Linked DNA regions of Struthio camelus. The protein of the gene in region 1 interacts with the protein of each later gene in a pairwise test. Links are inferred from orthologs where the notes say so. Each region holds a gene or a part of one and is shown in the gene's direction. Other genes may lie near its edges.

The links. The genes of interacting proteins can lie anywhere in the genome.
Region 2: the proteins of MTUS2 (region 1) and EHHADH interact in binary tests that used the Homo sapiens proteins (3 or more experiments, as listed by UniProt). The link is inferred for Struthio camelus from reciprocal best matches to the Homo sapiens genes MTUS2 and EHHADH.

Annotation. Positions count from the first base shown.
Region 1 is NC_090942.1:200,186,137-200,189,879, reverse strand, and holds the start of MTUS2 (microtubule-associated tumor suppressor candidate 2), read left to right. Parts: upstream 1-1,115; 5' UTR 1,116-1,309; intron 1,310-3,743. UniProt on the Homo sapiens protein: Binds microtubules. Together with MAPRE1 may target the microtubule depolymerase KIF2C to the plus-end of microtubules. May regulate the dynamics of microtubules at their growing distal tip.
Region 2 is NC_090950.1:5,246,638-5,250,380, forward strand, and holds the start of EHHADH (peroxisomal bifunctional enzyme), read left to right. Parts: upstream 1-1,343; 5' UTR 1,344-1,394; coding exon 1,395-1,468; intron 1,469-3,743. UniProt on the Homo sapiens protein: Peroxisomal trifunctional enzyme possessing 2-enoyl-CoA hydratase, 3-hydroxyacyl-CoA dehydrogenase, and delta 3, delta 2-enoyl-CoA isomerase activities. Catalyzes two of the four reactions of the long chain fatty acids peroxisomal beta-oxidation pathway.

The DNA of each region.
Region 1 (3,743 bases):
AGAAAATGGTCAAAGAGATACAAACAGAAATGTCTTATAAATGCATTCGTTTTTAAATGTTCACTAAGTATTATATGTATACGTATTATTTAAATTAATCTGTATCTTGGTGTGTGTGTCTCATGTTACAGGTTCCTTTGGGGGAATGATGCTCTATTTCTGCTTTGTACAGCACAAAGCATCCCATTCTGCTTAAATAAATACTACAGAATCACACAGAATCACAAAACAGTTGAGGTTGGAAGGGACCTCTGGAGATCATCTAGTCCAACCTCCCTGCTCCAGCAGGCTCCTCTAGAGCGTATTGCCCAGGATCACATCCAGACGGGTTTTGAATATCTCCAGCGAAGGAGACTCCACTACCTCTCTGGGCAACCTGCGCCAGCGCTCTGTCACCCTCACAGGAAAGAAGTTTTTCCTCATGTTCAGATGGAACTGCCTGTGGTTCAGTTTCTGCCCGTTGCCTCTTGTCCTGTCTCTGGGCACCTCGGAGAAGAGCCTGGCTGCATCCTCTCGACATCCCCCCCTTTAGATACTTGTACACATTAATTAGATCCCCCCCTAAGTCTTCTCTTCTCCAGGTTGGAAAGTCCCAGCTCTCTCAGCCTTTCCTCATAAGAGAGCTGCTCCGTTTCCTTCATCATCTGAGCAGCCCTTGGCTGCACTCGCTCTGGCAGCTCTGTGCTCCTCTGCGTGCTTGCACGCCTCGTCTGGTGTGCCGTTAGCCCACCCAGTCAAGCATGCCTTCAGGGATTCATCTGCTCGTGCGGACAGAGTGGCAGCGTGCGCACATGACATGTTTTTCCCTGTCAGGTGCTCACCTCGGCTCTCCCGTGGTCACCGTTTCACTCAGTCTCCTAGTGTTGCGGCTTTCCTAAATTTCTAAGCACTTTACGGAAGCAGGAAAAAACAAACCAAAGCAAAGCAATGTCTGAGAAGCGGAGTTTTCCCGCAGCGTCGCCCTCGGCGGAGGGCATGCGGCGCCGGAGCCGAGGGCCGGGGGGGTGCCCGAGCGACCACCCCCGGGGGCGGCCGCGCAGGCCCCGCCGCCGCGCAGCTCCCGCGCGGTCCGGCAGGGGGCGCTGCGGCTCGGCCCGCGGCGGCGGGAGGTGGGCGCGGGCGGCGGCGGGCGCTGCGCGGCGGCTGCGCCCCGCGCCGCTATATAACACCCGCCCGCAGCCCCGCGCTGCTGCCGCTGCCGCCGTTGCGCAGCGCGGGCGTCTGCTGCAGCCTTTGTCCGCGGACGGACGCGGGAGGAGGGAGCAGCAGCAGCAGCAGCAGCAGCAGCAGCGGCGCGGAGCCGAGCCAGGTGAGCGCCGTGCACCGCCGTCCCCCGTGCAGCCGCAGCGCCCCGCTCCGCTGCCCTGCCGTCCGGGGTGCCCCGCGCCTCCAGCCCGCAGCGCCCGGAGCTCTTCTTCCTCCTCGCCCTGCGCGGGCGGGGCGCTGACCCCGGTTTGGGGTTGCTGTCCCCTCGGGAAAGCCCTGCCGCAGCCCGGGGCGCTGCTGCGGCCCGGCCCCGGGCGGTGCTGGGGGGAGCCGGGCACAGGCGCGGCCCCGGGGGTCGCTCCGGTATGCGGGCGTCTGTGCCCGGTGCTGCCTTCTGCGTGGGAAGCACCGCGCAGGGAAATTGGCGGAAAGTACTTTGAAACGCAGGCTGCTCTGGCTGCACCGCTTGGAAATGCTAATGCTGAAAGCAAGGAAGGTTTGTGGGCTGCTGGTCGTTGCTACCGGTGGTGAGGGCATGTGTTGAGATGGTAAAATAATAGTGTGAAACCTACTTATTAAAATGCTCTCATATATATATTATCAAATCTATTTGGCCAAAAGTTCTGAGGAAAGTAATAAGTGGAATGGCTGGTGTAGGCATTGCTCTCTGTGCAGCATCAGGTAGAGACTGGTAAGGAGCTGGGTGCTGGAGTGGGCTGGGGACCTCTGGCTTGGGCTGTGCACTCTCCAGTTGATGAAAGTGGAGAGCTCAGTGCAAGTATTGAGTTTACAGCACTCAGCTGGCCTAGAGTGCTAAAACTGCAGTTAAACTCTGCCCCTTTCATGGAGTTAAATAGCACTTCATTGTTCTTTCTTAAGAATGATGAAAGATAACAAAGCAGCTACTGTAAATTATGAACTGGCATATAACTTCAGTAGGAAAGGAAAGAACAAACCCATGGAAGATAGGACAGTGGGCACAGGTCTCCCTACTCAGATAAAACACCCCTGCTTGAAAAGCTGTTCATCTAGATTGGTAGTTTCCAACCCTTTTTAGGTGGATCTCAGAGCCTTTAATACTTTCCTGCCTCTTGATCTCTCCTACTTTTGCTTCTGCTTCTTCCTCCTTCCCTGGTTGATGTCTCCTCCTGGAGGCAGCAACAGCATGGGGGTGCTCTGTGCCTGCCCCCTCCAGGTCAGCATGTGTTCCCAAAGGGCACCTGGGTTGGGCAGCCAGCAATTCTGGATCACTCCAAACATGAAAAGGGCAAGCCAGCAAGACCCTTGCCATTTATTACTGTATTAAAAACTTTGAAGAACAAAAAAAATTCTCAGCAAGCCAAGCATTAGAAATACTTACTGATACTAAAGTAGCAGTAGCAAATAATTAAATGTCAAGTGTTGGCATACAGGTTATTAGTTTGCAATGGATGACTGCATTAGAGATGTACTTGGCAGCCAACTGAACTGGTTATAACATAATGCATAAATGCCTTGTTTTCATTTGTAATATCATATGGAAATTGTTTTATGCTCTTTTCACTATGTAGTGTTTATGGGTTTTATTTTCTCACCCCCAACTTGAAGCAGGGGTGTGGCTTTTCTGTATCTCCTCCTGCATAAGCTTTACTAGACTGTCCTTTTGCATTGCAATTAAATATACCTCACTACTTGTCTCCTTCCATCTCTGCAGTCTGGTAAGGAGAGCAGTACAGTCTGTGGTGCAGGAGAGTGGTAGCACTAAGCTATGTGCATGAAGACAGGGCTTCATTTCTCACTTTTTTGCTTTATCTTGTGACCCTACAGAATCAATGTGCAAAAGCTGGTTCTGTAAGTGATTCTTTGAATGATCCATTCTCAGAGTTTGGAAGTCTCTACCTGAGACCAGGAGGGTGAGAAAGGATTTGCAAGGCTTGAGCTCATGTGGTTTGTATGAAGTAGTTTTTGACATGCTATCACTTATTTTCTGTATATTCATCTCTTCAGGGACAGAAGTAGAGATTTGGTGACTAATCTAGATTTATTTCAGATGTTGAAAATGACAGATGTAGGTTTGGGTCAGATACAAAGCTAGCTTACCTTTACAACAAGGCTTCTAATATAGCAAAGTTTTTTTTTGTAGGATGTTATCTATTGTATTAGTGATTGTAATACACATGAAGATAGCTTAAGCCTCTTGGCCTAAATATATCTGAAGTATATTTCTATACAAAACACATCTATAGTATGGTAAGCAGTACTTGATATTTAGCAGTATAGTGGAGAGAGGAGAGCTTGCAACACTTCTGCTGTATTTAACCTGACACAGAAGTGCAATTCTCCAGGTTCTGTAAAGCACAACAGCACATCATAGGCTGTACAGGAGATACACTACTCAGTGAGTAGTAGTCTTCTGGCATTTTAAAAGTTTAGAAGCCAAAAATTTGGATTTTTTATTGTACATTTATTAATTTGTAAGTTAATGGAGGTTACATCAGAAATCATCACAGGACAGAATTGCAAGGTCTGAAATGTTGACTCTAACAAAATGGTAGATG
Region 2 (3,743 bases), on another chromosome or scaffold:
TGTAACAGAAGTTTTCTATTTAAAAGCAAAGCACCTGTTGCATATCATAAAGCAACAATAATGTGCAGCATGCTTTCCAAACATATGTCAGCACAGGTATGGCAAAGGCTCTGGTTTATGTCAGCATCAGTTGAAATCAAACAACTGTGGCTGTCCTAATTGAGTGTGCATCTACACTGTGACCCTGCCAGGCGTTTAGACTGTGTTTTAGCATGCTATAAAAAATTGCTCTTACAAGACCCTTCATCATTTTCTGGCAATTGCCCCACAACTCAGGCTCTACTAGTTACCTATGTAGTGAAAGTCTGCAGATAAATTATGTCTTAGCAGCCTTTTTTGGTGACTGTAGCACTTCACAGTCTTGGCTCTGGGTCAAAGCCAGCTCAGTTCCCTATGCTCAGTGTTTATGAATCCAACATATGTCTTCTGGGGGCTCTGAATCTCCACAGTAATATAAGAAGGGGCCTGATTGCCAGGACATGAGACCTGCTGAGAGCGGGGTGCCCATCAAGGTGGAGGCGCTGCTTATCTCAATGGTGGCTGCACCTTCATACTCCTGTGAATTACCCTTCTACCGGGACTCCGGATGTGTAGGGACCCATCAGTGCCTTGTCCTTGCCCAACGCAAGGAAAGATGTTCAACAATATGCTTCTCTCCTAAGAGCCCGGGGGGATTTCTCTGTGCTGTGCTTGTACATGGGGTGAAATACATCACTTTGTGTGTATGCACAGTGCTGCTTTGTGATGAAACGGGGATTTATAGTTCAGCAGCTCTGTGCTATGTGTTTTCATACCTCCCGTGCTGAGGGAGGGAAAGTGTGCTCCTTCCAGAAGGCATGTTTGTATCTCACTATTGCGCTGAGGGACTATATATAAAAATAATGTGCAAAGAGACTGAGCATCCATAACTTGTTAGAAACCACTTCTTAACACTAATCACTGCATCTCTTTAGTCTCTGCTTCAGCAGATTCAGCGATTTGTTCCTCCAGACAGGGGAACGTATAGCCATTTCTCATTGATCTCTACCTCGAGAAAGGTCCGTAATTCATTGCCCTTAGCCTGCAGCAGCATGTGGCTCTCTAGGGTTTCTAACGGCAGCAAAAGGAAGACCAAGGATAAGATAACAGGGGCCTGCTGCTGAGTGAGGTGGGCAAACTAGCAATGAAGGCAGAGATGAGACCAGTGTCTTTGTGCACGTGGCCGTCTGTGGGAGCGGGACACACCGCGGCGGGGCAGGCACCGCCGGGGCCGCTCCTCGCCGGGGCCGCTCCTCGCCGGGGCTGCTCCTTGCCGGGGCCCCTCGCTCCCGGGCAGGGTGCCCAGGGCCGCCCCGGGGGCCGGGCCAGGCCGGGCCGGGTGGAGCGGAGCAGAGCAGAGCAGCTCAGTGCTCGCCATGGCACAGTACGTGAGGGGTGCCGCCGCCGTGGCCGTCATCCGCCTCCGAAACCCGCCGGTCAACGCGCTGAGGTAATGGCGGGGCAGGGCCGGGCGGGCTCCCCAGCAGCTGCCGGGGCGGCCCGGGGTCCTCCCCACCTTCCTCCATACCTTCCTGCGCTTTCCTTCCTTTTAACCTCGCTTTCTTCCACCCTTTCCCTACTGACCTGTTGTACAGCCCTTTCTACCGAGCCCAGCGCAAGCTGGTCCTTAACTACATCTGGCCGGGGAGCTCGCTGAAGGTGTTTGGGTTCCTGAGCAAATGCTATCAGCCTGGCTGACTCCCTCAGAAAACTGGCAGCTGCTTTTGAGCTTAAACTTCTCTTTGCAAAAAACATGCCCTGTTTTTCCGTGGCTTCTCTTCTCTTTATTGTAATTTCTATTGATTTATGCAGGAGAGATGTCAGGCTTACCAATGTGTGCTTTCTCTGGTGTCCCCTGGAATCCTTTTTAAAACTTAACACATTTCTCATCACCTGGCAGTCTTTAAGTATGAAGGTGATGCTTCCAGCAAGAAATTACACACCATCATTAGTAGTTGAGCTATTTCATCCCAGAGATCCTTCAGAGCTCCTGGGTGAAAACACCTGGTGCTTTAAGCTTTGTTACTGTTCAGTTTATTTCCCTGTTCCACGTGCTCAGAAGTGCTTGCGCAGCGATTGCAGGCAGGCTGGTGTCTGCACTTCCAAGTGAACACAAGGGTTGAGGCAAAGGACTTTGTAAACAGGCAACGTGGCTGAGCAAGAGGAGCGAGAGCCCCTGGCTGACTGGGCTGCCGTTCAAGGTACGGCAGGAGGTACACGGCCAGAAGTGAGGATGGATTAGTCCACAGTGAGGGCTGTCACACTAGACAGGTAATTTGCTTTTTAAAAATAGTTAAGGAATTGACCTCTAAATGGTGCTCTTGGTCAAGAAAGTCCCCAAGCAATCTCAAATGCAAGCCAGAGAAAAACATAGTCCAACACAGGCCAGAGAAAAACAAACACAAATGTATAGTAGCATCTGAAAGTGTAGTTTCTCATGTGTTTGAAAAGGACATATATGTTATTCTTCTTTAAATAATTTGGTCTAAGGTTTGTGTATTTTTCAGTTCATTTAGCTCTAAGCAGCACACAGACCCTTTGCAAGCAGCTGTGGTTGAGCCGTGTTGTAACAGGCCCCACGGTGTATGCTGATGCTTTTGCAGGAGCCAGAAAATCCACTGAAGTTATGCTCAACTTCTGTACCAGCACACCTGTTAAAAAGAAGCTGAGAGAGACAAGTAAGAGCACGAACAGGAGATACCAGCTGCTGCCACAAGCCATAGCAAGCTGCATTGTTCTGCAATAGCTGCCAATGCTTGCTCTTCTTTTGCAACACGTCTGAAAGAGGAGTAAGATAATTTTCCTGTCCCCTGATAATTATCATGAGAAAACAAACTTGGAGTAACTTAATGAGATTAGATGAACTAGACTTGTAAGGCTCCCAGAAGTGCCAGGTGCAAAGTGTCCCTTGGACCAGCTTGTGCCTAAAAGCTAGGAAAACTAGCTTGACTAGGCTAGGAAAACTTCCAAGCTGTTCCCACAGTGAACTTTTCATCCTTACCATGAAAAGTTCAAACTACAGAACTAAACATAAGCGCTCAGGCATCCTTAACTGTCTCTTTTGAGCAGTCTGTGATAAAACCTAAAGTGCTCTCTTTGCCTTCGAGCACCAGCAGCATGCATCTGCATAACAGCCTCTTAAATACATCTCCCTGCCTCTGTTTCCATTTGCCAAGCTCTTCCTCCTTCCGCCTGCACAGGGCACAGCTCCATGACACTGCAGGCCAAAGTGGGTATGGTCTTGGTCCTGCTCTTTTCCCCTGCCACAGGAGGGAGAAGCTACTTTAGAGCCATTTAAAAGGCCGTTTCCAACGAATGCTGCATCATCACTGCCACCATAGCTATTTTGTGCTGCCCGCACTCTTCTGTTGGCCGACAGCCCCACGGCAAGAGGGCCCTGACAGGCCTGTGTATTTTTCCAGAGTAGACTCGTTCCCTAATGTTGAGCTCCATAGCACCATAACGCAACTTAAGCTGGGGCTGCATCATCCTGGCCATGGTTTCTCGCAGCCTCCGCTGTGCTAGCAGGGACTACGTAGTGAGCCAGTTCGGGGAGATAATGTGCCTAAACACTAGCCTGCTTATTTGCTTTTGCCTTTCCCTCAGTCCAGCTCCGTGTGTCAGCACCCTGTGCTGTTGCACGCATAGCAGTGCAGGCGTGAGGGACAGAGTGGGAAAGGACTAGAAGCTGCAGAGCGTGAATTTAGATCAGGTTAAGCAGCTAT